Linked DNA regions of Mus musculus. The protein of the gene in region 3 purifies or fractionates together with the protein of the main gene of each other region. This does not show direct contact. Links are inferred from orthologs where the notes say so. Each region holds a gene or a part of one and is shown on either strand. Other genes may lie near its edges. The genes, in order: Ahdc1, Ehmt1, Cbx1, Zfp280d, Adnp, Zfp644 and Chaf1b.

What was found.
Region 1: the proteins of Cbx1 (region 3) and Ahdc1 purify together in Homo sapiens (affinity purification with mass spectrometry; 4 studies listed by BioGRID and IntAct, with this or other methods). This does not show direct contact. The link is inferred for Mus musculus from reciprocal best matches to the Homo sapiens genes CBX1 and AHDC1.
Region 2: the proteins of Cbx1 (region 3) and Ehmt1 purify together in Homo sapiens (affinity purification with mass spectrometry; 3 studies listed by BioGRID and IntAct, with this or other methods). This does not show direct contact. The link is inferred for Mus musculus from reciprocal best matches to the Homo sapiens genes CBX1 and EHMT1.
Region 4: the proteins of Cbx1 (region 3) and Zfp280d purify together in Homo sapiens (affinity purification with mass spectrometry; 4 studies listed by BioGRID and IntAct, with this or other methods). This does not show direct contact. The link is inferred for Mus musculus from reciprocal best matches to the Homo sapiens genes CBX1 and ZNF280D.
Region 5: the proteins of Cbx1 (region 3) and Adnp purify together in Homo sapiens (affinity purification with mass spectrometry; 6 studies listed by BioGRID and IntAct, with this or other methods). This does not show direct contact. The link is inferred for Mus musculus from reciprocal best matches to the Homo sapiens genes CBX1 and ADNP.
Region 6: the proteins of Cbx1 (region 3) and Zfp644 purify together in Homo sapiens (affinity purification with mass spectrometry; 3 studies listed by BioGRID and IntAct, with this or other methods). This does not show direct contact. The link is inferred for Mus musculus from reciprocal best matches to the Homo sapiens genes CBX1 and ZNF644.
Region 7: the proteins of Cbx1 (region 3) and Chaf1b purify together in Homo sapiens (affinity purification with mass spectrometry; 4 studies listed by BioGRID and IntAct, with this or other methods). This does not show direct contact. The link is inferred for Mus musculus from reciprocal best matches to the Homo sapiens genes CBX1 and CHAF1B.

What each region holds. Positions count from the first base shown.
Region 1 is NC_000070.6:133,060,006-133,063,505, reverse strand, and holds part of Ahdc1 (AT-hook DNA-binding motif-containing protein 1), read right to left. Parts: intron 2,845-3,500; 5' UTR 2,614-2,844; intron 2,480-2,613; 5' UTR 2,442-2,479; intron 2,131-2,441; 5' UTR 2,057-2,130; coding exon 1-2,056. UniProt on the Homo sapiens protein: Transcription factor required for the proper patterning of the epidermis, which plays a key role in early epithelial morphogenesis. Directly binds promoter and enhancer regions and acts by maintaining local enhancer-promoter chromatin architecture.
Region 2 is NC_000068.7:24,916,775-24,920,954, reverse strand, and holds the start of Ehmt1 (histone-lysine N-methyltransferase EHMT1), read left to right. Parts: upstream 1-1,380; coding exon 1,381-1,401; intron 1,402-1,428; exon of another isoform or gene 1,429-1,764; intron 1,765-4,180. UniProt on the Homo sapiens protein: Histone methyltransferase that specifically mono- and dimethylates 'Lys-9' of histone H3 (H3K9me1 and H3K9me2, respectively) in euchromatin.
Region 3 is NC_000077.6:96,787,782-96,791,934, reverse strand, and holds the start of Cbx1 (chromobox protein homolog 1), read right to left. Parts: upstream 2,801-4,153; 5' UTR 2,582-2,800; intron 1-2,581. UniProt on the Homo sapiens protein: Component of heterochromatin. Recognizes and binds histone H3 tails methylated at 'Lys-9', leading to epigenetic repression. Interaction with lamin B receptor (LBR) can contribute to the association of the heterochromatin with the inner nuclear membrane.
Region 4 is NC_000075.6:72,319,888-72,323,387, reverse strand, and holds part of Zfp280d (zinc finger protein 280D), read right to left. Parts: intron 936-3,500; coding exon 778-935; intron 389-777; coding exon 288-388; intron 1-287. UniProt on the Homo sapiens protein: May function as a transcription factor.
Region 5 is NC_000068.7:168,204,313-168,208,240, forward strand, and holds the start of Adnp (activity-dependent neuroprotector homeobox protein), read right to left. Parts: upstream 2,801-3,928; 5' UTR 2,262-2,800; intron 463-2,261; exon of another isoform or gene 288-462; intron 1-287.
Region 6 is NC_000071.6:106,694,031-106,698,221, reverse strand, and holds the start of Zfp644 (zinc finger protein 644), read left to right. Parts: upstream 1-1,391; 5' UTR 1,392-1,690; exon of another isoform or gene 1,691-1,988; intron 1,989-2,003; exon of another isoform or gene 2,004-2,424; intron 2,425-2,522; 5' UTR 2,523-2,579; exon of another isoform or gene 2,580-3,085; intron 3,086-4,191.
Region 7 is NC_000082.6:93,890,401-93,893,900, reverse strand, and holds part of Chaf1b (chromatin assembly factor 1 subunit B), read right to left. Parts: intron 2,402-3,500; coding exon 2,305-2,401; intron 1,788-2,304; coding exon 1,703-1,787; intron 1,170-1,702; coding exon 1,076-1,169; exon of another isoform or gene 1,002-1,075; intron 1-1,001. UniProt on the Homo sapiens protein: Acts as a component of the histone chaperone complex chromatin assembly factor 1 (CAF-1), which assembles histone octamers onto DNA during replication and repair.

The DNA.
Region 1 (3,500 bases), on a different chromosome or scaffold from region 3:
AGCGGGCTGCCTTGGCTGCGTGGCCTCCACCCCTACCTCCAAAGCCTCCTGTTTTGCCTCCACGCCTCCGGAAGCCCTGCACACGATGCAGGAACTGAGAGATGCTCTGAGTGTCCGGGGCCTGGTGCACGGACTCAGGCTCACTGGGTGTCCAGCAGCGGGGTGGCGAGCACCTCCCAGCACACTGACTCTGGCGGTTCAAAAAGGCCAGCTTGGCGAGGACATCAGAATATTCAGCCTTACTGTCATTGGCGTCTGCTGCATACGATGGCTGCGGAGACGCCAGCTTCTGTTTCCGTCGCCGGCGTTTCTTCACCTCAGGCATGGCCATGGTGGCCGCTGTCACAGTAGCAGCCTCAGCAGCTACCACTGTCGGCTCTTTGGGCTTCCCGGGACCCAGCAGCAGGTTCTTGGGAGGGCGGCCACGCTTGCGCTTGAGAATGATGGGCATCTCACCTGGCGGGAAGACGACCACCACATTCCGCCCGTTGTTCTTCATCTTCAGCAGTGGGGTGGGCTCTGACGACACCCTCAAGCCCAGCTCCTTGCCCTCCACACTCAGACTGCTGCTCAAGGATGAAACTTTGTACGTGGTCTTGTTCCTCCGCCCCAGTGACACGGGGATCTTGGCCATCTTCACCACCATGCGCCGCACACCCCTGCACTTGCCTTTGCGGGTGGGGACCATCGGGGTTTGAGAAGACTCTGGCTCCAGCTCGGGAACTGGGCCTGGGCCTGACAGAGTAGGAGGTGGTGGCGGTGGCAGCGGTGGGGGCTCGGCCAGGGCAGCTGCCAGCCCTGTAGGCATGGGAAGAGGAAGCAGGCGACCCTCAGGTCCTGAGTCCGCCTTCCGGCCCCTTCCGGCTTTCCGCCTGCGACACAGGATCTTTGGCCTATCAGTGCGCCTCAAGGCGTACTTGGGGTGGCCCTCAGGCCCAGGGGGACCATGAGGTGAGCACAAGTCCAGGCGTAAGGGCTCAGCCAGTTGGCAGTGGCCCAAGGATTGCTGGGGCTCTAGACGTCGACCGGGGACATCCAGCAACTTGGGCAGGGGGTCCAGGGCCTGAGGGTCAAGGAGCTGGGATTCCAAGGAATCAGGTAGGGTATCTAGGGCCTGCAGGGTCAGGCTCGGCAGCCCCAGGGGATCAGCAAGGGGCTGCAGGGGTGGTAGCTCCAAACCTTCTCCTAGAGGCTCTAGTGCCTGTGGATCTAGGAAGCGGGGCTGGGGGTCCAGAAGCTGCGGCTCAGGCTGTGGTGAAGGCGGCTCAAGGGCTTGAGCCTCCAGGAGCTGGGCCTCAGGGCAAGTGAGGGAGGCCAGTTCACTGAGGATGTCGGCATCTGCCAGCTCAGAGTAATCAGGCCCATCTGGCTCGGGCTCGGGGGGCAGACCAGTGGCTGTGGCCGCGGCTCCAGGACCATGGCCTTGGCCAGGCTGGGGACTATCCCTGGGCTCGGGCTCAGGTTCATAGAGAGGGTGGCTGGGCCGCTCTGACTTGGTGTGAGGGTTAGCACGCTCCTCGGGGCTGCGGATGCTGTTGGCCAGGCTGGGCGAAGAGAAGAAGCTGTACTGCAAGTCGCCGGGTGGCGGAGCGGGTGGGCGGCTCAGCCGAAGCCCTCCACAGTCCAGATGCACACCGCTGTGCTGCAGGTCCTGCGACAGCCTTGTCAAGTCCTTCATGATGTCAATCAGCTGCACTACTGGACGCAGGTTCACACGCCCGTTGTCCCAGTGGCGGAGGGAGCTGTTGTCTGGAGCCGGTGAGGGACAATGGGCCTGGGAGACAGGCCGGGCTGCCCGAGGAGGTAGCAGGTCGTCTCCCTTGGCAAGGACTGGTGGACGGCGGGAGCTGGGGTCCCGCCGAGGGGGTGGGCGTGGGTTCTCAGAGAAGGTATGGGTGGAAAAGGCCTTGTCAGGTGGGCTGGCAGGGGGCCGGGTGGGAAGCAAGGGCCGGGGGGTTGGGGGGCCGCCGGGGTAGTACTTGGGCTCTCGGAGGTAGTCAGGAGAGCTGCACACGGCACTGGAAGTCACCACCAGGCCCTGGGGCTTCACACGCATCCTGACCTTGTCCTCCTCGGGCCGCCGGGCGGGGCCAGGGCTGACATGAGGGTGCGAGAAGCCGGGACCAGAACCTGCCAAGGAAAGAGAGGCAAGAGTTCTTCACCTAGCATTCACATCCTTAGGGGCCCTTGAACCTTTCTGGTCTTCTGTCATGTGTACATACTGAACTCCTCATGGGCCTCAGCACCCAGGGGCAACTGACCCACTTCTATAGGCTATGGGGTTAGAGATGACAAGATCCCCATATCTTGGCGAGGGAGACCTGGTAGCAGGGCAAGATGACCACTCCACATAACACTAGACACAAAACTGAAGAAGGTTGGGAAGACCCATTCACCACGATGCCGCTCCTCCTCACCCTTGCTCCTCAGGCTGTACTCACCCTCGGCTCTGCCGCCTGGGCCGTCACACTGGTTATCTCTGTGGGCAACAAGACATGATCAGAGCTCAATTCCCCGAATGGTTCAGGATCCACACTAACCCTGCTACCCAGACACAGCCCCACAGCTTTCCAGATGCCACCCCAGCTCCCTCAGGGCTTCCTCCTGACTGACCTGGTAAACAGAGGGCCCCCGTGCTTGGGGACTCTGCCAGTCGATGGCTGTCAGCTGGGGGTGTTGTGGAGCAACTTCGGCCTGAGCCCAGGCCTTGGGGTGTGGACAGCGCCTGGAAAGGACCACCGTAGCTCAGGTTTAGTGAGCACCTACTGCACGCCAGGCACTGGGCTGGAAGCTGTCCAGGCATTGCTTCATTTGATTCTTCATACCAATCCTGTGAGGTAGGGGCTATTAATAACCCCATTTTGCAGATGAAGAAATGGAGGCTCAGACATGAACTAATATCATTCACTCATTGGTTCATTCATTCACATGTTCACTATTTATGGAATATCTACTTTGTACAAGGCCTTGATAGTCAGACATTGAACAGGCAAAGCCCTACCTGACTTAGGAATCGGTGAATTAAGCAAGAGGTGCATAGACAAGTGAAGAAAGTGCCTGGGACCAAGGGCCTGGGAGTCACCAGGAAGGTGACTATAAAGGCTTTGGGACACTTTACTGCTGCCAGCACCAAGCACTTTAATGGATTATCTCATCTAACCTCCCTGCCATTCACAGATCAATTATCCTGCCCATCTTTAAAGAAGCCATCCAGTAAGGGTTCCAAGCCCCAGGAAGGCAAGCCTATCTGCCCCGTCGCTTGCTGAATCAAGCTCTGTGAGTCTGCAACAGCTCTGCAGTGAACAGGGGCTGCTGCAGGCATGGGCCACCATGTCTGGCTCTCATCAAGTTTTTTTTTTTTTTTATTCTTTTCTAGATCCAACAATGACGCCGAGGGAGAAACAGTGGCAAGAATATAGAAAGGGGCCTTTTCTTGCGCCCCTCAACCTTCCTTAGTCTATGAAGTTCTGCCTTTCCTACTGCCCACATCCAGCCCAGTC
Region 2 (4,180 bases), on a different chromosome or scaffold from region 3:
ACCTAGTGCTGGAATTAAGTTAGAGGTGCATGTCACCGTATTTGGCTGTGCTGGTGACTTTACTACTGTGTTCCATCTTGGGAACACATCCCATAATTTGTGCCTTAATACCGCCCCCTTTAAAAATTTTTTTTTTTAAATTTTTTGGTTTTCGAGATAGGGTTTCTCTGTGTAGCCCTGGCTGTCCTGGAACTTTGTAGACCAGGCTGGCCTCGAACTCAGAAATCCACCTACCTTTGCCTCCCAAGTGCTGGGATTAAAGGCGCGTCCCACCACCGCCCGGCATACCTCCCCCTTTTTAAATTTTACGGTACTGCCTTTCAGAAGTCTTCTTATAGCCTCAATGCTTCTGGCATAATGTGTGCTCATCACTGGAACACATTTTTCATATCCTTAATCAACAAATACAACTCTTTTCCATTTTAGCACTTATGCCCTATGGCTGGAACTTTTGGAATGTGAAGTTCAACAGCAGAACTAGCATAGATTTCTTTTACAATTTCATCGGAAGTGAGTTCTTAGCGTTCTTCTCTTGGCTACCCCATGTTTCAAACTTGTTTATTGCCCGGCAGTGGTGGAGCATGCCTTTATTTAATCCCAGCTCTTGGGAGGCAGAGGCAGGCAGATTTCTGAGTTCAAGGCCAGCCTGGTCTACAAAGTGAGTTCCAGAACAGTCAAAATTATACAGAGAAACCCTGTCTCTAAAAAAACCAAAAAGAAAAAAAAAAAAACCCAAAAGAAAAACAAAACAAAAAAACCTTGTTTATTGAAATCTTCTGCCTTTCCGCTTAAAGGGAGCACTTTATGGTTCTTTAGGATTTTGGTAAGGTCTCATCACCTTCCCTGCATTTTGGGGGTCACTAATAAATAGAATAAGGATTGTCAGGACTCAAGTTTATAGTGTGGAAACCCAGTGGGACGTTGACAGTCAGCAAGTCAGTAGTAGCTCGTAGTGTAAACAAGTGGTACAAAAGGGTGGTCAGCCAGCACCCAGCGGAACCAAGCGGAAACTCGATTTCCTAGGCTCACTCAGAACGGCACATAACTTTGAAACGTAGGGATACCTTATTTCTGAAACTTTCCAAGTAATATTGGTGGACTGCAGGTAAATGAGAGAGAGCGAAACCAAAGAAACGGGAAACAGAGCAGCTCCTTTTGGTGACCTCTCAGCTCCAGGAGCCCAGGTTGAATTTCAGCGCGCAGGCGCCACCTGGCCTCGCCTCCAGACGCAGGCGCCGCACGGGTGGGTCCCGGTGCGCAGCCGCGGGTGCTCACGCAGGCGCAGGAGTGGCCGGCCAGCCCCGCCCCGGACCTAGGCCGCGAGGCGCGGGCGGGGCGATGGCGCGCGGGAGGGGCGGGGCCACGCTGCGGGCCCGGGCCATGGCCGCCGCTGATGCTGAGGTGAGGTGCGGGGCCGGCTGTCGGCGCTGGGCTGCAGGCCACGGCTGTGATTGCAACAGCCGCGGCGAGGGGACAGGAACCCAAGCGAACCACGAGCTGGGTGGGGCCGCGCGCCCCCGCTGCATCGGGCCCGGCTGCGCGGAGGCCCCAGCGTCCGGCCCGTGCTCCGCCGGAGCGCTTTGTGCACGGCGGGCCCGAGCAGCAGCGGCGGCGGCGGCGGTGGTGGCGGCGGCAGTGCGGTGGCGGACGGTAGGAGGCCGCGGCTCCGCATCCCGAAGCCCGGAGCTTGACCGCGGCCGGGTCGGAGCGGGGGTGGCGGAGACAAAAGGCAAAGTGGACCGGGCCAACTTGTGCGCGCCGGAGGTGAGGCGGGCCTGCGCCTGCTGCCCCGCTCCGTGACCTTTCACTCGCCGCGAGAGCGTGGCACCATCTTTAAGGAAAAGTTGGCCGGTCCCGCGCGCCTCCCGCGCACAAAGCCGCTGCAGCAGGGTGACCACGGGCAGCACGCTCGACAGAGGAATGTCTGCGGACCCAAGTTTATTTCTTCACCAATGGCACTAAAGCGGCGGGAGACGGCGAATTAGCGGTCTTTTGTTCGCGTGGTGGCTTTCCCTCTGCTCTTTCTGCGGGATAGTTTGCTTCCTGGTTTTTGCGGCGTAGACGTTATGGCCGGGAGAGAGGGACCGCTGTCTTCCCGGAGCTGGGAAGGGCCGGCAGGAGTCCGGGGTCCTCAGAACGCACTAGAGTTGTGTTCGTAGGGTCGAAGTACGGGGCCGATTTGGAAGAAAGTATAACCTAACGTTTTTCTCCAAAATTTGCAGAGGGAATACTTAGCTTTTGGGATTTCCAGACCTCAGAAAGTGAAGGTGTATTGAGAAGCTAGCACATACGGTGCATTGGCTTAGCAGTACATTTTACCTCATAGTGTATGGTCCTTGTGTTTCTTTCTTCATTCTCGCCTTTTTGAGGGGTATTCGTATAAGTGAATGGCTAGTTTTCAGATCTAATGGAAGGAGGATTTGTTGAGTACTTGGAACGTTCAAGAACTGACTTTGGCACCAAGAACACAAATGTATATGAGATAATCTAAGTCATTTCCAGGAGTGTAAGGAAGGAGATACATAGTGAATCTCAATCATTTATCGAGCATTTATGTTTCTGGTGTTGTTTAAACCCCTCTGAGGGGTTATCCCATCCAGGTTGTATAATGTCTCGTGCAGCAAGTATTGTTATTTCCTATTTAGGAGATGAAGACAATAAGACTTTGCAGGGGTTAAGTAACTTTGCTTGATCAGTTGTAGGCCTGGCTATTTTTCTTTTTAAAGACTTATGTATACGAGTGCTCTATTTGCATGTATGCCTGCATGACAGAAGAGGACATTCAGTCCCATTAAAATGATTGTGAGCCAATGCGTGGTTGCTGGGAATTGAACTGAGGACCTTTGGAAGAGTAGCCAGAGTAGCTCTCTTAACTGCTGAACTGTCTCCCCAGCCCCCAGCTTTGCCATTTTTCAGTGCTAGACACATAGTTGGTGTTTATTCTGATTGAAGAAGCTGAGTGTGGTAGTGCCTGCTTGTTATCCTAGCACTTTGGAGGCCGAGGCAGGAGGATTGCATGTTCAAAGCTAGCCTGGTTGTAGCTTATTTCAAACCTGCTCCTCTCACTCTCAGAAAAGGGTGGGTGTCAGTGGTCTCCAGTTTCTTTGATTTTACAGGCAAATTACATAGATTGTGTGTGGGGTGAGCTTGTGCCTGGTCCCAGCCCCACTGTAGGCATTTTGTGCATACTGTAGCCTGTAAACATGACAGTAGTCTTACCAAGTAGGTTCTCTGGTATCCCTTTGCAGGCAAGGCAAAAGGCACATAGCCCCAGGATTACAAAGGGTTTGATGCATTAGAAGACACAGGCTGTTTCTACAAAGCCCATGCTTACAAAACCATGACTTATACCTGTGTGGAGTTGTGATTTTAAGTGTTATCCTTGAAGTACATGACAGGTGTACTTATAAGTACACAGCTCTTATACAGTACTGTGGAATTGGATCAGCATGGCTTCATCCTCATTGATTCTTGAAATATTTACTGGTTAGGGTTCACAAATTGTGGAATGATTTAACCCAGGAGAGGTGACACTTGAAACTTACCTAAATCCCCATCTTCCCTCTACCCCAACCCCCAATACCTTTTCACACTAAGAACTACTTAGGTAGTGGAGAGGTTTATTCATGTGTCTCCTATTCTCTAGTTTGCAGGTTGGTGTGGGCTCCTCCACTTCTTGGGTTTAAATGTATGTCCCAGTCACAGGATCAGACTGTGTCTGATACATAGGGCTTTCTTTTTCTTTTTTTTTTTTTTTAAAGATTTATTTATTTATTATATGTAAGTACACTGTAGCTGTCTTCAGACACTCCAGAAGAGGGAGTCAGATCTCCTTATGGATGGTTGTGAGCCACCATGTGGTTTCTGGGATTTGAACTCAGGACCTTCAGAAGAGCAGGGTGCTCTTACTGGCTGAGCCATCTCTCCAGCCCCACATAGGGCTTTTGTCTCAGCAAAAATGTTATCATATAGCAGGAGGGCCTTCCAAAACAAAATCTGTACTTAATAGGGTGGCTAATATGTATCTTTTTATTAAGATTTTTAAAATTACTTAATTTTTTGTGCACGAATTTTTTGCCTTTATGTATAACGTTATGTGTATGAATGTTTTACATTTTGTATTTCCGGGTCAGGTGTCAATGGAGGCAGTGAAACCGTGGAACTGGAGTTAGGGTGGTTA
Region 3 (4,153 bases):
ATGACCCCCACCCCCAAAGTTGTTCCTGATCTCCATAAGTATGCAATGGCACACCCCACCCCCCACTTAAAAAAAAAAAAAACAGGAAAAAGGTGGGGGGGACACCTGGAGAGATGGCTCAGTGGTTAAGAGCACCAACTGCTCTTCCAGAGGTCCTGAGTACAATTTCCAGCAACCACATGGTGGCTCAAAACCATCTGTAATGGAATCCAATGCCCTCTCCTGGTGTTTTTTGAATGTTTATGTAATGCACTCACATACATTCAATAAATAAGTCTTAAAAGAAAGAAAAATCGTAGTGGAGAGATGGCTCAGCGGTTAAGAGCACTGACTGCTCTTCCGAAGGTCCTGAGTTCAAATTTCAGCAACCACATGGTGGCTCATAACCATATGTAATGAGATCTGATGCCCTCTCCTGGTGTGTCTGAAGACAGCTATAGTGTACTTATATAATAAATAAATCTTTTTAAAAAGAAAAGAAAAAAAAAATCAAGCCACTGCCTGACACACAATAGTTTTTTTCCCCTTTCCCTTTTTCTTTTTAAAAGGATCTATCTATCTATCTATCTAATGTACATGGGTACACTGTAGCAGTACAGATAGATGTGAGCATGCATGTGATTGCTTGGAATTGAATTTTAGGATCTCTGCTTGCTTTAGCCAACCTGACTTGCTCCTGCCCAAAGATTTACTTATTATTATAAATAAGTACATGGTAGATGTCTTCAGATGCACCAGAAGAGGGTGTCAGATCCGATTACAGGTGGTTGTGAGCCACCATGTGGTTGCTGGGAATTGAACTCAGGACCTTCGGAAGAGCGGTCAGTGCTCTTAACCGCTGAGCCATCTCTCCAACCCTCCTCTACTTTTCTTAACTGCTCAGAAAAATACCTAGAAGGGAAGGTTTAAATAATCTATCATAAAGCTATTGATAAAAAGTTGAACAAACAGAAACCAGAAATGATCTTTCACTGCCCAGATCTTAAGAAGCAAAGCCTCCTTCCTCCTAGGTCTTGAACTCCTGCTGCTCCAGGCTCCACCTCCCGAGTGCTGGCTGGGATTACAGGAGTGCATGCAGCAAGGCCTAACTGGGCTCTTTTCAACACACCACTTCCCAGATATGCCTAGAGAGCATCCAGGAAGTGTATAGGCACCAATTTCTTGATTGTAGCCATACATCTACCAGAAAACCTTAGGTCTTTTGAAACTATTCCAAAAAGCTGACATGATTCTTAACACAAAACTGGAGAGGTTACCCTATGTTCTAGCATAACTCATTTTTCAAAAAACCTTTTTATGGTATTGGAACATAACTCAGTGGTAGATAACTTACATGTGTGCAAGGTCCTCAGTACCACACACCGAAATGAGTTCTATATTTCTATACTGCTTTTTAAATAAAAATATTCTCGCTGCCGGTGGGCATGCACCTGCTTTCGAGGGTCCCTGCCATTTCCCTAATTTGTAGCTCAGAGGGCAATTCTGTGAAGTCTGCTCGCTCTTTCCACCTTTACCTGGATCCTGAGAGGTAAACTGAGGCCCCCAGGCTTACGCACAAAGAACAGATCTCTTTCATTGGATGAGTCTTGCCTTACACGTGTTCTTCCACAGCCTCCCAACTCACACTGAAGACCCATTACAAGGCACAAAGTGGCCTTTTCACCCTTTCTTGACTCCCCTGGTGGCCAGGCAAGGCTTTAAACTCCTGATCGTCCTGTTTCCGCTCCCAAGGGCTACATGAATGCCATCAAGCCCAGCCCGAATTTATAAGGTACAGAGGATTGAATTCAGGCCTGTGCAGTGGGCTAGGCAAACATTCTACCAACTAAGTTACATCCCCAGGGACCCTTTATTTTCTTCCACATTTGACCAGTCACTCTAGACTTCTACCCTACCTATCCCAGCAACTCCACTTTTAGACAAGGTCAAGAAAATGCCTGACCCCCCACCCCCACCCCTAGACGGATTCAACAAATCTCTTCCCCGCTAGCACACCGTGAGCTGCCCAAATCCTCCTGTTCAAGTTTATTGGAAGTTACTTCTTCTTAACTCTGGCAAGAGAAACTTCTCTGATAGTGGCAACTGGACCCAATATCCTCAGGTTACTTTTTCTCTCTTTCCTCCAAGTGCTACGGGGGTTGCTTGCGATTGCCACCGTGTCCGCTTTCTCAGGTTACATTTCTAAACCTCGAGAGTACGAAGTCGTGGTCCCTGCCACGCACACCCAAAAGCACCTGTCCCCCTTATGGACGTCCCAAAGTTTTCTTTCTCCCGCCCAACTCTAGAGTCCCTCACTCGGGTCAAACGCTCTTGGTCCAGTTCTTGAAAAGCTAACCCTCCGCTGGCTCCGCTCATCGCGAACCACTCGGCTCCCGGGCTCTGGATTCGCTGCCCCGCCCTCTCCACACTCCCGCAACCCGCGAGCTCTGCGCGGGAAGCGGACCCGGCGGGCGCTGGGCCGGGGCGCGCCCCCCATTCCTCGGTCTCCGCTCTTCCGTTAGCGGCCCGCGCTGGTCCGCGGCCTCCCGCCGTTGCCGCGTCCCCTCCCCCCACACACCCCGCCTCCAGCCCGCCTCTTCACCTCGTAGCAGCGCCCGAGAGTCCGAGAGGAATCGGTGCCGCGCTACTCGCGCGTTGCGTCGGGCGGTCCGAGGGGAGTAGCGCGCCCAGAGGAGCAAAGAGCCGTGTGGCCACAAGTCGACCGTCCCGCTGAAGCGGCGTACCGCAGGCCCCGCTAACGGCCCTCCCCTCAGCCGAACAAAAGAGCCTCTCACTCTGCGCGGCCCGCCGCCTGCACTGCGCAGACGCGACGACCCGCCGCAGGGCACCTTGGGATTAAGAGTCGGCCAGAAACTACAGATCCCAAAGTACCGCGCGAATCCCGCGCCGCCCACCTCCACTTTCAAGGATTGTAGGGAGTTTTCGTAGTTTTGTTTTCTTTTTTGACTGGAAAGGCGAAGTCGACTGTTACTTAGAACATAACTCTACAGTCTAGGAAATTGATGGGTAGTGGTGGGGTTTGTTTGTTTAATAACAGGATACGCAGCCCAGGTGGCTTCGAACTCGTGGCCTTTCTTTTTGCTTCAAATGTCAAAGTGCTGGATTCCAGGCGCGTGCTGGTATTCCTTACTCAGTCTACAAAAGTAGGACACTGCAGGTTTGGAAACTAGCCCGTTGATGTTTGGTCCGTTTGCGTTTAAAAGAAAAATATTGTATTCGTCACCTGAGATTTATCAAATCACCTTCAATAATGTCCAGCAATCTTACCTATTATTGCCACCTGACTGGGGTTCCTACCTCTCAGTTTGAATCACTGCTCCATTCAGAAAGCAGTAGATTAACCGTCTAGGTAGACACCATCGACACTTTCTGAATTTGCTTTTTTTCTTTCCCCTTCCTTCCCTCTCTATTCTTGTTTTATTTTTGGTTGTTGGTTCTGTTGAGTGGACAGGGTCTCAAGGAAGTCTGATCTACCTGTTTTCACTTCCCAAATGCCGAGTATTACAAACACAGACCACCACATTCAAAGTTTTCCCTTTATTGCCCTTGCCGGTGGGTGACTTTCATGGGGATTTCTCCATCTCTGTGAACATCCTTTATCAAGTTAGTCTAAAGAAACGGAATTAAGCAAAAACCACGGCTGGGCTGTCATTCTTTAACACGGGTGCTACTCTGATTCAGGTAGGTTGCTGCTAATTGTTGAACTAGGAACTCCAGTAAGGACAGACGCTTCATATGACTCATTGTGTCCACGACACTCAGGATCCTTGGTGTTTGTTTCTAGCAAGGACAAGGTCATTTTGGTTGTTTGTTTGTTTGGTTGGTTGGTTGGTTTGTTTTTGTTTGTTTTTTTGAGACAGGGTTTCTCTCAAAACTCAGTTTGTAGACCAGGCTGGCCTCAAACTCAGAAATCGGCCTGCCTCTGCCTCGAGTGCTGGGATTAAAGTTGTGCGCCACCACGCCCGGCCACAAGGTCACGTTTTGACTCTCAGTATTTATTGGTAAAAATTCCTTGAATATGTGATTAAGTGAATAACTGAGATGTCCAACTGATAATAGAACTGATCAAACTTTCCAAGGCCAGATTCAAGCCTCTTAATCCTAGTACCCGGGATTGAGACAGGAGGATTGCTGGGAGTTTAAGAGCACTTTA
Region 4 (3,500 bases), on a different chromosome or scaffold from region 3:
TAGATGGCAAAAATAAAACAAACACCACCAATATATTTCACTATACATGAAAATTATATAGAATTTAAAATTTGAAATCCATATAGTAGAACACAGATACATCCTTGCAGTCCTTTACTGCCATTGCTGACTTGCCACAACGGAGAGTTGACTAGCTGTGATAGAGACTGTAGTATCTCTAATATGAAATGCTTACTGTTTGGTCCTAACAAAAAAAACCAAAAACCCTGCTACAAATCCTAACACCAAAACAACAACAGTTAATGACACTATAAAACATGACGTACCTGGCAGATGTATGGCATTTCACCAGGCTTATGGTTATCCTTCATATGTTGTAAGAGAATCTGTTCAGTTTCAAATGATAGCTCACAGATCTTACAAATGGCTATAGATGAAAGGAAGAGTTATTACAACATTTTAATATATAAATAATAAAAGCTCATTTGGATAACAGTGTCAACAAATTTGTCAGCAGAAGTGGCAGTATTAGAGGTGGTAAGCAGCCATACATATACACATGCATAACTCAGTCAATTCCTCTTTTAGCACTACCACAAAGGCATGTCTGTTATCCTATTGTCTCAGTACCAAATAACCTGCCTGAACTTATGTAGCTACTACACCAAGACAAACATCTGGGATTTGAACTGAAGCCTGAAGTAAGTTAGCTTTTGTAATTTTGGCCCCAAAATCCAAAGTCTATTTCTTGTTCTTATTTCTGTAACAGTTTTCTCAAGATTTGCTGAGCTTCCTTAATCCTGAGAAGTAACTCACTGGAGAACTCATGAGGAGTGTGGGTGCTCTCGATGTGGCACTGGAGCTGGAAGGGCGTGGGGAACTGCCGGTAGCAGTGCTGGCACGTGGTGTGCTTCTCCCAGCTCTCGCTGCTCTGCTTCTCGAGCTCCAAATGGTGCTTCATGTGGTTCATAAACCTGCAAATGGCAACAGGCGGAGAGATTCAAATTAAAAAATCAAAGAAGATCCCACCATATCTTAACCCACTATTTAAAAAAAAAAAAGTGAATTATTACTCAAAACCTAGAGTCCTTCTCTAGGAAACTGCATGTCCTAAATAATGACCACAAATGGCTAAGTAGATACTTTTTTCCATCTTTGTTTCAAATGTCACTACTTTCAGATGATTGTTTTTAGATAAAATAACTCTCCTTTGCCATGTGAAGTACTATTTATATTTTAAAATTCAATATTGAAAGAAAGAAAATCCTGTCAGCAAAAGTAGCTAGAGTCATGGGAGAAATTCTTTGAGACCCTGAAGATATACAATAAATTCTAGCTACTAGTATTCTTACCTGTATCTTTGTTTTGAAGTACATATAATAACAGTTTTAATGCCTACAAGTACAAGGAACTTTTCATTTATTTAGTGATATTGTTTATAGTAAGCATAAACTGTTCATTTTAACTTGCAGACTGTGCCCTTTGTAAGGCAACATCCATTTTTCAGTTTTACACTTTGCTATTTCAGCATCCCTACAAGGTTTCTTATCAACAGAACTATGACCTTTGTAAGTGTGGTATAAATGGGAATATATCTATTTTTAAAAGCTTACTAAAGCTTTTGGCTGAAATAAAAAGTAGTATTACTTGATCAAAAGAAAATTTAGACTGGGCCAATAAAATTAATAAATATCATCCAGTTGGAGGCTTCAAAGGAAATAAGCATGAAACTATATGAAAATGTTATCAATCCAGAGAACAGACACCATGAAAGCTATGACATCTATCTCTTCTTTTTCCTGTCTCTGAAGAACAGTATCTCCTCAACACAAATTGTAATACACTTTGAAGGATCTTTATTTTGCCTTTGGGGTTTTTTGTTTGTTTGTTTGTTTTTTGGTTTTTCAAGACAGGATTTCTCTGTGTAGCCCTGGCTGTCCTCAAACTCAGAAATTTGCCTGTCTCTGCCTCCCAAGTGCTGGGATTAAAGGTGTGCACCACAATGCCTGGCTCCCCTTTGGTTTTAACATGAGCTCTACAAAACACTTAAAAACCTAGTCTTGGTTAAATATTTGCATATAGGCAAAACAGCATGAGCTAGTAAATTCTGAGCTCAGCCCTTAAAGCACTAAAGTATAATTATATAAAGTAATGTATTAACTAACTAGTTGATTTCTCTCAATGTTTACATAAGACCTAACTGGAATGCATAGTTCCCAAGACAATATATGGTAACTTCTTACAATGATCTGTTTTTAGTGATACCCAATGGGGGAGAAAGCAGTAACTAAAAACCTGTATGAGAAATCAAATGGAAATCTTGATATGTTTTGTACCATTATACAAATTATAAACAACTGCAAGGCCAGGAATACTTGCACATACTAGCAATTCAGGATCAAAGAAGGTAGATCTCTTGGTTTTGTTTGGGCCTGCCAAGTCTATACAATGAAATCTTATCTCAAAAACAAAAGCAAAATAACAAAAAAAAATTTGCCTTCCCAAATTTTACTGACAAAACACTCTATCTTTAATTCCTTTGTCACAAGGTATTTACTATACCATTAAGGGTACATTTCCCAAGTAAAAGCTTTCAATGTTCAGTTTATGTTACTAAAAGTCATATGTTTAAATTTTCTAAATATTCTAATATAAACAAATGGAATTAATGTCCTAAAATAATTCCTAGAAAAAGTTATTTTTCATGTCTAATATTAAATGGGCTAATCGTAAAAGTAAAAGACAAACAACACTTTTGCTAAAATAAATTGCAGAATGTATACTTAACAAGGAAGTTAACAAAGACAGTGAAACCCACTTGTACACATTTAACCTTTCCCTGACTGAATCTTGTAACAATAAGAATATGGGACTAGGTGGTGGAGGTCAATTTCAATGCTGCTTCAGTATTACATCCCAAACACAAAATACTGGGAGCATTAGTTCTTGAAGGAGTGAAATAGTTTAAGAGCTCTGGAATGCACAAAGAGGCCTGTGAGCATCATGTTAGCAGCAGCCACACGAGACAGAAGTGAGTAAACTCAGGGGCCCAAGAGGATAACTGCTGGTCTACAAAATGCTAATTTGGAAAGTTCTTTTAGTATCTATAAAAGATATACATGTGTATTTGTGTACAGTATCTTCTTTTAATTTGTCTTTTTGGAGATCAAGTTTTCTATGTTTTAAATATATTCTCACCCTCTCCCCAAACTTGACCCACATCCACTCCTAAAGTACAACTTATCTAAAATAAGTATACTCATGCATGTAACTTATTTTGAAATATACATTTAAAAATAATCAGTTTTTATCAATAGCTTAATTAATTTATAAAACTCAGATTGTTTAAAGGAGAAAGACAAACAGTGAAACAAGTAAAGAGGGGCGGGGAGAAGCAAGGGGGCAAGGTCAAACTTTCAGTTTTGTGATGAATGTTTGAAAGTTTTTACGAAGGGTAGAAAAGTCTTGTCTAATAAAATATAAATTCTAGGCTATAAAATAAAAAAAAAACCATCATCCAGTAGTCTTCTTACAGGTGA
Region 5 (3,928 bases), on a different chromosome or scaffold from region 3:
TAAGGCTTTCAGATGCTGAGCAAGTCTTGAGATAGACTACTTAAAACTTTATGTCCAAAAGTGCAGAATGCAAATGATTACAACAACATCATCGACTTTAAATTTTTCTCTTAAAAGAGACACATATTTTAAACGTTCAAAACCCATTACTGCAACCAGCTCTAACGAGTTCCTTGAGGAATGTGGCGAGGCTGAAATTTTGAAAGTTCATGTTCTGGTGGTGATCAGGAGGAAGTCTCTAGCTTTCCTGATGCTGCAGTCCCCACCCTCCAAAATGATATACCCACCGGTGTGAATTGACAATGCAGTCCAAAGAGCAAGGCAGGGAACGGAGTCCAGATCCTCAAAATGGCAGTACAGGGAATAACCACTAGGCCACCTATCAGTTCAGTACAAAAAGTGCAACCCTGTGCATCACGATGTAAAAGCTGGGGCCTAGGTTTCGTACTGTGCATCTCACACCTATGGAAATAACAACAGGAGTAAAATCTACAGAAATCCACACACCCTAAAAAGGTGGGTGCGCACCGAACCAAGACTGGTGTCAACACTTGCAAAGGCAGTTGGCTACAGACAGTGTACTGCTGAAAGTGGAAGGCAACACAATTTTGCAGTGAACTCTATTAAGTTTGACAATGAAGAACTCAATAGGGACCTGATGTTTACCAACAAAGCCTTGCAAATCCTGACACCCATCTTTCATGGCTGTCAAAATCACCAACCCATAAAACCTCTCAAGAATGACTTTCCACTCGCAAAAGAGTCGGAGAGATTTGGATTGACCTGATCTCCCAAGCCCGTGACTTTCAGGTTTTAAACAACCCCCTTTACCACCTAGCCTAGGAAAGAGATGTCAACACATCAAACCTTAAGGTGAAGGAATTCTTGAGAAAGGGAACCTATGACCCAAGGATGTGCACCAAGGTGACTGATCAGCAATCAAAGTCTGAGGGTGAACAGGTTTGAAAAAGTAAAAAAAGACAACTTTCCAAACGGAGAAGTGGCTTTCTTAAATAAAATCTCTCTAGCCTCACTTAATCCTTCGCCATGTTGCTGTCAGCTCACCCAGTGCAAGTCTTGCTGGACCCATTTTCCCATGGTCTGTAGAAGGCGCTGTTTAGCACATCCTGTTCTAGTTCTGGGGCCCTTCCCCCCTCTGCAGCCTTACCCAGTGCAGGGAATGCGCCCCCTACTGACTCCCACACTCAGTGCCTTTAACCGACTTGGCTGCAGTGCCTTTTGGGTGGGGGCTGGTATTTTCTCCATGACCATAAACCAGAAGCAACAATGCAGATTTATAAAGAAACTGCACAAAGCTATCCAAGAGACACCCCCCGACACACATCCCATTGTGAAGGTTCAAGATACAGGCACAAGAAGCATCAGGGATGGGAACTGGGCGTTTGGGGCTGGACAGCATTAAAATGGCTAACACAGGAAACAGTTTGGTTCTTTTTCCCTCCTAAGCCTTTGTCTGTGAAATGGGGTTATGACAAGAACTGTCCAGAGGACCTGGTGACTGGAAGAACACTGAGAAGACACTTGGGGTGTGTGGCAGGGAGTGAGACTAAAATGAGTATTAGACTTCTTGGAGAGAAGAAGAGAAGCAATCGCGCCTTTTCTAGCAGACAGGCATCCAGGTTGGGGGTAGGGTGGGGAAGGGAGGAGAAGGACAGGCAGCTCAGAGGAAAGAAGAGGCGAATAAGAGGGTGCTCAAAGAACTACTCCCCATTCATTGCATTCGAAAAAAATTCTTTCCGCGGCTTTCTGGATTTCCATTTTCTGACTGCAAAGTTGATCAGAAAGCTCTAAAGAGGGAGTGCTGACCAGGTAGCCCAGATTGAAAGCAGGGCCGGTGAGGGGCTGTGGTGGTTAGGATGGGAGGGAAACTGGCATGTTGTTGGGGAGGCAAAGACTTTCACCCTCTGCCATGCACGCTCCCCGCCCCCCAGGCCTTTCCCCCCTTTCCAAGCCTAGGGTGGGCAGACCTGGCAGAAGGCTGGTTCCGGGGACTGGGGGAGGGCGGGAGGGGATTAGTTCTGAGGACGAGAGAGCGAGCGGGGTTCGGCTGGGGGCGGGGTGGGTGCGGGAAGATGCCACTAGCCGCAAAAGCCCATGGTGGCCGGCCGGCAGCCCCGCGGGGCGGAGAAGGGGATCGGGCTGCAGGAGGGCTGCGGCCGACTGGGGTTCGAGGCGGTGTGTGCACGCCGAGCACAATGACCGCGCCCGGGATCGGCGGCGGGCAGGGCCGCGGGGCTTACCTTGGCTCGGCCTCGAGGCGTGCGCGGGGCCGGCGTGCTCTAGAGCACGGCGGCGGGTGGACGGCGGCACGGCGATGGCGGCGAGGACGCGCCCGGGGCCTCGTCGCGCTCGGGCTCCGGCTCGAGCCGCGGCCGCGGCTGCTGCCGGGGGGCGCGGCGGGCGCAGCAGAGCGGCGGGCGGCGGCGCGGGCAGTGCAGACAAAGGAGGGGCGGAGGGCGGCGGAGGGCGTGGGGCCGCGGCTTCACCGTCGCGGGCGGGCAGGCGGGCGGCGACGGCCGCGCGGCTCCTCGGCGGCGGAGACCGAGAGAGGGAGCTGTGGCTGAGGCGACGCCAAATCCCCCCCGAGCGAGCGCGGCTGGAGGGGGAGGGGGCCAAGATGGCGGCGGGCGGGCGCTCAGCTCATGGGTCCCGGCGGCGGCGGGTAGACCGGACGGGTGGCGGCGGCGGCGGCGGGCGGGGGAGGGGGCTGGTCCCGCGTCTCCCCTCAGCAGACAATACAAGCGCCTCAGAGCAAGTCCCCGAACCTGCCCTAGCCAAAATGGCGGCCGAGAAAGAGCGGAAGTGACGTAAGCGACTCATTAGCATAAGAGGACTCATTGTCCAGCTGGGGGGGGGCGGGGGCCATGGACCCCCTACTCGGCGACCCCCCCCCAAGGGAGAGCTCTTCGGTCCTCGGCTGCGGCGACACCCACTTTCCTTATGGCAGGGTGGCCCCAGCCCCCCCCAGCCTCTCCTGGGTGAGATTATATAATCCCCACTGAGGGGAGCTCTCGCGAGAACGTGGAGGCTTTGCCATTGCCCCACTAGGAGGCGCCGTGGATAATGGCCGCACTGCGCTCCTGGGTGCCTTCCTCTGACCGCAGCGCCGCCGGCGGAGGCAGAAGTAGCGGGCCGCAGCACGCCTCGACAGTCAGTCAGGTGGCTGCACTGGGGATCCCTGCGCGGGCCCATCTGGGCCTGAACTACATCTGGCAGGAGGGCGCCTGGGGCTGCCCAAGGCCCACGTGCTCAGAGTCAGCTCTCCCAAGCTGGAGGCAAAGCCAAGGGTTGAGCCTGCTGCCTCCTGCCTTTAATGAGGTGTGATGCCCTCGTGTTCCTCCCATTTTTTGAGATGACACAGCTCTGAGGCCATGTCAGCTCTTCTAGTGAACTGGTATGGGATAGACAGGGACTCAGCTTTTCACTTCTGCTGTTCCTTGGACTCAAGTCATTCCTTCAAGTCATCAGATGGCCACTTACCATTGACTCAAGGAAAAAAAAAGTGGGATTTGTAGAGTTGAGGCCATTGGATTGTCAATGGCTAAGGATGAAAACGGTCTGGCACTCACCCACAATTCTGGTATGTGACAGCACCTGCACTGTTGGCTTTGTAACTTTGGATCATCCCCAACCAACATACCATGTCAACATCAACAGCCTCGGTCCACTTTAAAGGAACAGTAGTTACCCTACCGTAGATAAGGATGGCTAAAAGCTCTACAAAGTAGCAAGTGCAGTTGTGAAGGATTGGCCACCCCTCCCCCAACATGAGGTCTCTACAAAGTTGCAAATTTTGAAAGAATCAGACTATATATACAGACAGCTCAGTGTCTAAGGGTTTGGTTGGGAAGTTGAACAAACTTCCACCTAACATTTATTTTTTGCAATTATTAGAACATATATTTAA
Region 6 (4,191 bases), on a different chromosome or scaffold from region 3:
ATGTGCCCTGAAGTATGCAAGGCTTGGTTCCAGGTGATAGGCCTTTGAGTTCTGCAGGTTAACAGACCTGGTGGGTCAGGAGACATGGCTCACTGGCCAAGAGTACCTTATGTGCTTGCTGGGGACTCAGGATCAGGTCCCTTGTGATATTTCCACATGATGGCCTGTCATTTGCAGCTCCAGTTTCAGGTCCTTCCTGAGGCTCATTTGGACTCTGTGGTACCAGGCATGAAGCATGCGGTGCACAGCCATACATTCAAGCAAAACCCAAACTCATGAGATGAGAATAAGTCTCTAAAGTGCATCTCCTCCAAGCAGTTGGCTGAAAATGGACACAGATTTATTTGTTGTGTATCTATCTATTCGTATATATGAAGGAAAGCTTTCATTTTGAAACAGCTCAACAGTCTAATCTCTCTTTGCCACTTTAGGTTGTAATGAACTTGAACAGGTGACAAGAATGCCTGACACACACACAGCATGAACTCTAGTTGTCAGCAGTTACTAGCAAGCGAAATAATTAGAGTGGATAGTGAAATGTTCGTTCTTTGGGATACATTTGCTGCTTCTGAAGGCACCGTTTTTCAGGAAAGATACTCCCATTCTTGACAAATAAATGTAATTATGGTGTATTCCTGTGAATGTTAATAATATCTCGAAGGCTTGGAGGTGCATAGTTCATGATTACTGCTTAACTACTAAAAAACGTTTTAAAGTTTTTCATGAGAAAAAGTTCAGCGAAACCAAAGAATTTAGTAAGGCAGGCCCATCAGAGTATTCTAGAACGTTTAGCTCACCTTCAACAGGTTAGGAACTTGTTGACTCGGTTCAAAAGCAAAGCGAATACCTCTAATTAGTGCGCTGCTTCCCTCAGAAGCCCATGGCTGAATGCTTGTTAAAAGGGAGATTTAGAAGACCCTCTGGGGAATCTATTGATTACCTGAAGAGTTAACCAGCATTTCTGACGTCTCTTTGCATGACTCCAATTTGGACAATCAAGGCATGTTCCTTAGTGCAGAATCTGCCCTTGCAGAGTCCAAGGAACCCAAATCCGGGCCTTCTTTTTGGGTGTCTTGTCTGGGTAACTGAATTTCTATACCTGATGCTTTTGCCACCTGGCCTGTTTAACATCATAAAACCTGTCTGTGCCAGTTCTCCAAGGTAGGCCTGATATATGTTGCTGGTTCTTTCAACAGCTGGAAAAGGGAACAGGTTTTTGGCAAACTAGCGATTGCAGACACCAGAGATGGGCCTATTCCACCTTAAAGGGCCTAGGCATTCCTGGTACTTGGGTCTTGCAGAGTTTGGTCGCCACCATATTTGGAGCGTGCCTACTTTGGGGCGGGAACCTCCTCCGGAGTGGTTAGGTCACCGCTGGGGGAGGTGACCTTGTTTGGTTTTGGCACGGGAGAGCAGCGGTGCAGCGTTGCTGCCGCCCCCCGTGGGTCTGATTGGCACGGGAGCTCCGGCGGCCCGAGAGCACGGGCGCGCCTCGCTGGCTTCCCCCGGCGGCCGGCGGCCAGGCAGAGGCGGGAAAGCCGCGCGCCTGCGCCGTGGGAACCGAGGCCGGAGGCGAGAAGCGGGGAGCGGAGGGGGCCGTTGGAGCCGAGTAGCGTACAGAGCGGCGTGTGACGCGGGGACGCCGCGCGCTCCCAACGTCGCCCCGGTTTGACGCACACGGCACCAAACTGTGAGTTTCGGGGGTCTTATTCGGTCGGATTAGCCCCGGCCCCGGCCGCGTTTCGGACGTCCGGGCTGAGGCGGTGGCGGGACTGAGGGTGGCGGAAGAAGTTGTGGGGGGACCCGGCCCGCGGCGCTCGGGCCCGGGGAGCTACGCCCTAGGCTGGCTCCCAACCCTCGGAAAGGACGCGTTTTGCCGCACAGGCTAAGATGGCGGCTGCTGCCGAGGAGGCGGAGTTGCTGCTGCACAAGGAGCCCGGGCCGCGGGGTCCGGGAGGCGGCGGTCGCGGGGGGCCGCGGAACCTTAGGTGAGCGGCGGCGGCCGCCGCGGGGCGGGACTCGGAGGCGGGCGCGCGGGGCGGGGGGTGCCTTTCCGCTGCGGCGGCGGCGGATCCGGTGGCGGACACAAAGGGGCCGAGCCGGGCTCTGGACTCGGGGGGTTTTGTTTAGTCACATGTAGCGGAGCAGCCAGTGAGCGGTAGGGGGAAGGGGGCCGAGACCCGGAGGTCCGGGGAGCCCTGCGGTCGCCATTGTAACTCCCCGAGTAACGGGGGCGGTCCGAGAGCAGTCAGGCGGCGCCCCGTGCGCGGCTAGGCTACTCTGTCCGGGCCTGTAGCCCCGGCCCTGGAGGTAACTGTCCACACCCCTCCCCTGACTTTGGGACCAGAGCGCATAGCCTTCCCCTTCTTCCCACTGGTCTGCAACATCTTGTGCCGCTAAGTGCCTGAGAAGTAACTCCAAGAGGTAAAAAAAAAAGAAAAAAAAAGAAAAAAAAACACTCGAAGTGTTTGGGTGGCCACGGGGCTTGGTGGGTATCTAGCTAAAGCTTTTTGCCTCTCCAGGTCTGATTCCCTGGCCTTTGTGTCCCTGGGAGCTTAATCTCTGCCAGAGGAAAGCAGGTGTGTGCTCCGTCCACTCCTCCCGAGAACATGAAGATGAGTTGTCCCAGACCCTTCCCCGTGATTGGAAACTTAGGTGGTTTCTTGTTGCGAGACTTCCACAGACGACTCTCGTGTTGGGATCCATCCATGGTTTAGCGACATTAGTGGAAAAGTTCTCTTCAACTGTTAAAATAATACTGACTTAAATGTAGTTGTTATAAAACTTTCGTATTAGCTTTCAAATTTTATGTGATAAAACTCAACGAGGGGATGCCCACGGCTTGTGGCCCTGAAATGATGTTGGTCCTGTTGTGTGCACAAGTTAATTTCCACAGAAGTATCCAAACACCATCACGTGTTGTGGCCAGTCCTGACTGATGCCAAGTTTACTGCATCTGGGAGATGTGTTGGATTTGCCTTAATCGTGTTGTAGTTTAGTTAATTTTGGCCCCACGAAGGAAAGTGTTTCAGAACCTAAACAACTAAAGTTCCCCAGATCAAGAAAACCTGCTTCAGGGCCATGTGTAAGTATCTAGGGAACTAGGTGTCAGCTATACAGCTGTACCTTATTTCCAGTAGGTTTGGTAAGAAAGAAATGGAGATTCTATATTGAAGTTATAATTCAGTGTAGACCTTTAAACTGGTGAAACCTGAGTGCTTGACTGGTACTAATGCAGTTTGTATGTTGCTGTTGAAAATATGGCTGTAAAAAGTTTTAAGTACTTTATATTGTGTTTGCATCATGCATTGTATTTCAAGTAATACTGAAGTGTGAATTCCAAAAGAGCTGGTGCCTTGTATGTGCCATTAATATAATCACATGAAGGAATATTACACCTTTAGATCTTTGAATTTTTTTTTTTTTCTTTTTTTTTTTTCTGAGACAGGGTTTCTCTGTATAGCCCTGGCTGTCCTGGAACTCACTTTGTAGTCCAGGCTGGCCTCGAACTCAGAAATCTGCCTGCCTCTGCCTCCCAAGTGCTGGAGTGCTGGGATCAAAGGCGTGCACCACCACCGCCCAGCTAGATCTTTAAACTTTTTAACATTACTTAAAACTTTAGTTTTCCTCGTTTCTTAGCTTTCTTTCAAATACAGAGAAGTTTTGTATTAGGAGGCAGGAGATATGCTAACAATCAGATGTGTCCCCTGGATCATACAGTATTAGAAAGGAAGATGGCCAAGAGCTACTGTTCTTACTCATGGCCTTAGCCCTGTAGTGAGCGAGTTAATGCTGGGATGGAAGACGGTCTCTAACTCCTACCCTAGTTCTAGTTTTGTTAGCACCTGGTAGTGGTTTTAAAAACAAGGGGCATTACTGAGCATACCCGTTAATTAAAGTGTCATTAGTGAGACCTTCTGAGACAATACATTTAATGTTATGTAATTTTTAGCAGTGCTGCTTATGTATATATTTTGAGCACTTTCCAACACTGACATGACCCAGAAATGTAAAAGTTAAAAACAAGGAACATGCTTGATAACTAATCTTGGAAAGTTGGAGATAATTGCTGTTACTGCTGCGAAAGTCCAAGGAATGTTGAAGGCCACGCTAGTATCTCTCACTTGGTAATGCCATTTTGTTGGATAAACACATAGGCCTCTCACACTACTATTTAAGTGACTTTTTAAG
Region 7 (3,500 bases), on a different chromosome or scaffold from region 3:
AAAGTCAGTCTCTGCAGTGCTACGGCCCCCTGCTTTGGTCACTCTGTAATATTTACTAGCAGAAAACCAGTCCTCTGCCAAGAAGCTGATCTGGGAGTTTGAGGGATTTGGGTTTTGGGTGGAGAGATTGACTGATTTTATTGGTTTGGTTTTAATTTGTTTGTCTGAGCCAGGGTCTCACACATATCAGGCTGGTCTTGAACTCACTACAGAACCAAGGTTGGCCTGGGTCTTCTCCCACCTCCACCTGCCAAGTGTTGGAGTATAGCAAAATGCTACCACGTGTAGCTGACAGATTCACTGAGAAATTCCTGATTTCCTTGCTAAGGAATTGTGTCTCAGCTGTGAGGCATAGGACTGGATGGCGTTATCAGGCTGCATTCTAAACAAGCCACGTTCCCAAGCGGCAACACCCACCTTCTGCTCAGCTATAATGGGAACTGTTGCTTTTTTTTTCAACCTGAACAGAATAGCAACATCTAAGTTGCCACACAGTTCAGTTCTGCATTTGCCTGTTGGCGGGTATCAGAACCTGTCCTGGATGTAATCTATACCTTGCTTTCACTCATTGGTCTATCTGTGGTGCTAAGGGTTGACCCCAAAGCCTTACACACCTTGGACACACCTGACTAATGAGCTTCATCTAAGTCCTCAGTTTTTCTTTCAGGTTTTCATCTTTTGTGTTTTGTTTTCTTGCCAAGTGAGAGGGCCGAGGTATAGGATACATTGTATCAAAGGCACCAGGTGGCGCTTCCACCATGTGTCTACTGACTTAGTCTGCTACACCTTTACCATATGGAAGTTTTACATTCCCAGCCAGGCCTGGGCTGCACACCTGTGATCCCAGCATTCAGGAAACTGGGATAAGAGGATCACAAGTTGAGGATCACCTTCAGCTACCCGAGTTCAGCACCAGCCTGAGCTACGCGAGACCATGACTCAGAACAAATGGCATGCAGTAGTCGGTTGGTACAAGGCTTGCACCACCACTCCGCTCACACCTGCAGGAGCTGAAGTGAACAGAGCCGTCCCTGTGGTGCCATCACACCCCTATGTCACATGCCGTCAGGCACACCTGGAGTGAGGAGCAAAGATCCATCTGGAGTAAAGCTGAGTCTTCGGAAGAACGACTTCATGCTGTCGTCGTGAAACATCCGGAAACTTCTTGCCTGTGGTAACAGAGCTTGAAATCACCTGAAAGCCTCTAACCCTCCACAGAGGCTCACCACTTAGAACTGGCACGCCAACAAGGCAGTCCAAGGAGAAGCCTCATCAGTTGGCCAGCAGGTCGGGCAAGTGCCGTGATTCAGAGGCAAGGAAGGACAACCCCAAGACTCACCAGATCTCAAAGGGCGAGATATTTTATGCTGGGCTGCTGAATGGCTCGGAGGGTAAAAGGCACTTGTTACCAAGCCTGTTGATCTGAGTTCCCAGGACCCATACAGTGCACTAAGGGAACTGACTCCCGACCTTCAGAAGCACACTGTAACACGTGTGTGCATGTTCCTGTATGCGTACTTGCACTCTTAACACACACACATATTCTTGCACACACACTCACACATGTGCCCAAACGTGAATATCACACATACATATGCATGCATACACACATGCCAAAGGCATACTCGTGTGGGCACACACACACACACACACACACACACACAAAACACACACCCATGAAAAAATGATAAGTACTTCCTACCTCTCCTTCAGGCCCCTGTCCAGAGAGCATCTTTGAAATGTTGAAAGCCACACGCTTTTTCTGGGTATTATAGATCCGCAGCACCCTGAAGAAAGAGCAGTCTGAGTCCCATCCCAGCACGGGAACTGGGTCTCACACAGTAACAACCTACTGCGAGTCTGCGGCTTGTCCCCTTGAGTCAAGTGTGATTCAGTTTATTTGATGCTAAAGCTCTTCCTAACGGGGCGGACAGATGCACCAGTGGCTATGAGCATGCACTGCTCTTGTAGGGAAGCCCAGTCTGTTCCCAGCACTGACAGCTCCCAACTGTAACTCCAGCCCCAGGGAACCCAATGCCCTCTTCTGGCCTCCAAGAGCACCAGGCACACACCTGGTACAAAGACATACATGCAGGCAAACATAAGAGTTCTTTCTACATCAATTCACCCATCCGGTAAAGATTCACTGGTGCCAGGTCTGCACAGGGCACCTGGCCTAATTCGTCTCTAATTCCTGTCTTGTCAGAATAGCAGATCCAAACAAAAAAGCCAAAGCTGGACTATCGATCCCTTAGTAAGGTTGCGATAAAACATTTGCAAAACACGTTCATGTTACTTACGAACCTGTCACAGCTCAGGGTCGCAATATATTGACCCAAAGGATCCCAGGTGACTCCTTGCACATAACTTTTATGCTCGTTGAAAATGGAAATTTTCTGCCCTACAAAGAAGCACGAGAAAGTTATTATCAAGATTTCCAGGAAGCACGCTGCAGGAACCACAATGTTGGCACTGTCTCCTACGTCCTGTCTGCCACTCTGCAAGCAACCTCAGAGAAGCCGAGTCAGACTCAGGGGACCCAAAGATCACTCCACACAGCCCCACCCCCACCCCTGCAGCACTCAAGGCAGCCAGGATGTAGAGCAAGCATGAGGCTGTGTGGGTTCGAGAAATTAGGAGCAATATCAGAGCCCTCAGTTTAGTTCTCTGGGTTGGCTAGTATGGTGGTTTGAAAGAAAATGGCCCCACATGCTCCAAGGGAGTTGGTACTACCAGGAGGTGTGGCCATGTTAAAGTAGGCGTGGTCTCGTTGGAGGAAGTGTGTCTAGGTTCACTCCCTGCTGCCTGAGGATCCAGAGGTAGAACTCTCAGCTCCCTCTCCAGCACCATGTCTGCCTGTACGCTGCCAGGCTTCCCGCCATGATGATAACAGACTGAACCTCTGAACTGTAAGCCAGCCCCAATTAAATGTTGTCCATTATAAGAGGTGCCTTGGGCATGGTGTCTCCTCACAATAGCAACCCTGAGAAGGTAGGACGGGGGTGGGAGGGATGACATGCACAGGAGAATCCCTCACTCGCAGCTTAGACCCTGGATGGTGGCAGCATTGAACTGCTGAGATGAAAGGGAGGACTCAGAAACAAGATGGAAGGAAAGAGAGGTACTGCAGTCAGAGAGCTCTGTAGGCAAAGAGCAGGCCAAGACCAGCTAGCTGGGAAACGATCTGCGCTTCAAAGAGCGAGCTGAAGCCAGACCTGGTGGTGCACACCAGGTGAAGAGGAGGTAGGGGGTATCCAGGGTTCAAGGCCAGCCTTGGTTACAAAGAGCTTCAAGGCAAACAAACAAACCAGAGTTGGGAAAATATGAGAGGAGAAAGAGTGACAAGTTAGGTCACAGAAACTGAAGGATGGTTGGGCGAGGCCTGAGCTGAGCAGGCTAACAAAGGCCCTCAGCAGAGGAGACAGCAGCACAGAGCTTCCCCAGACCAAAGGGAAACACAGTTATGGAGCCTTAACTATGTATGTATGTGTGCACGTGCA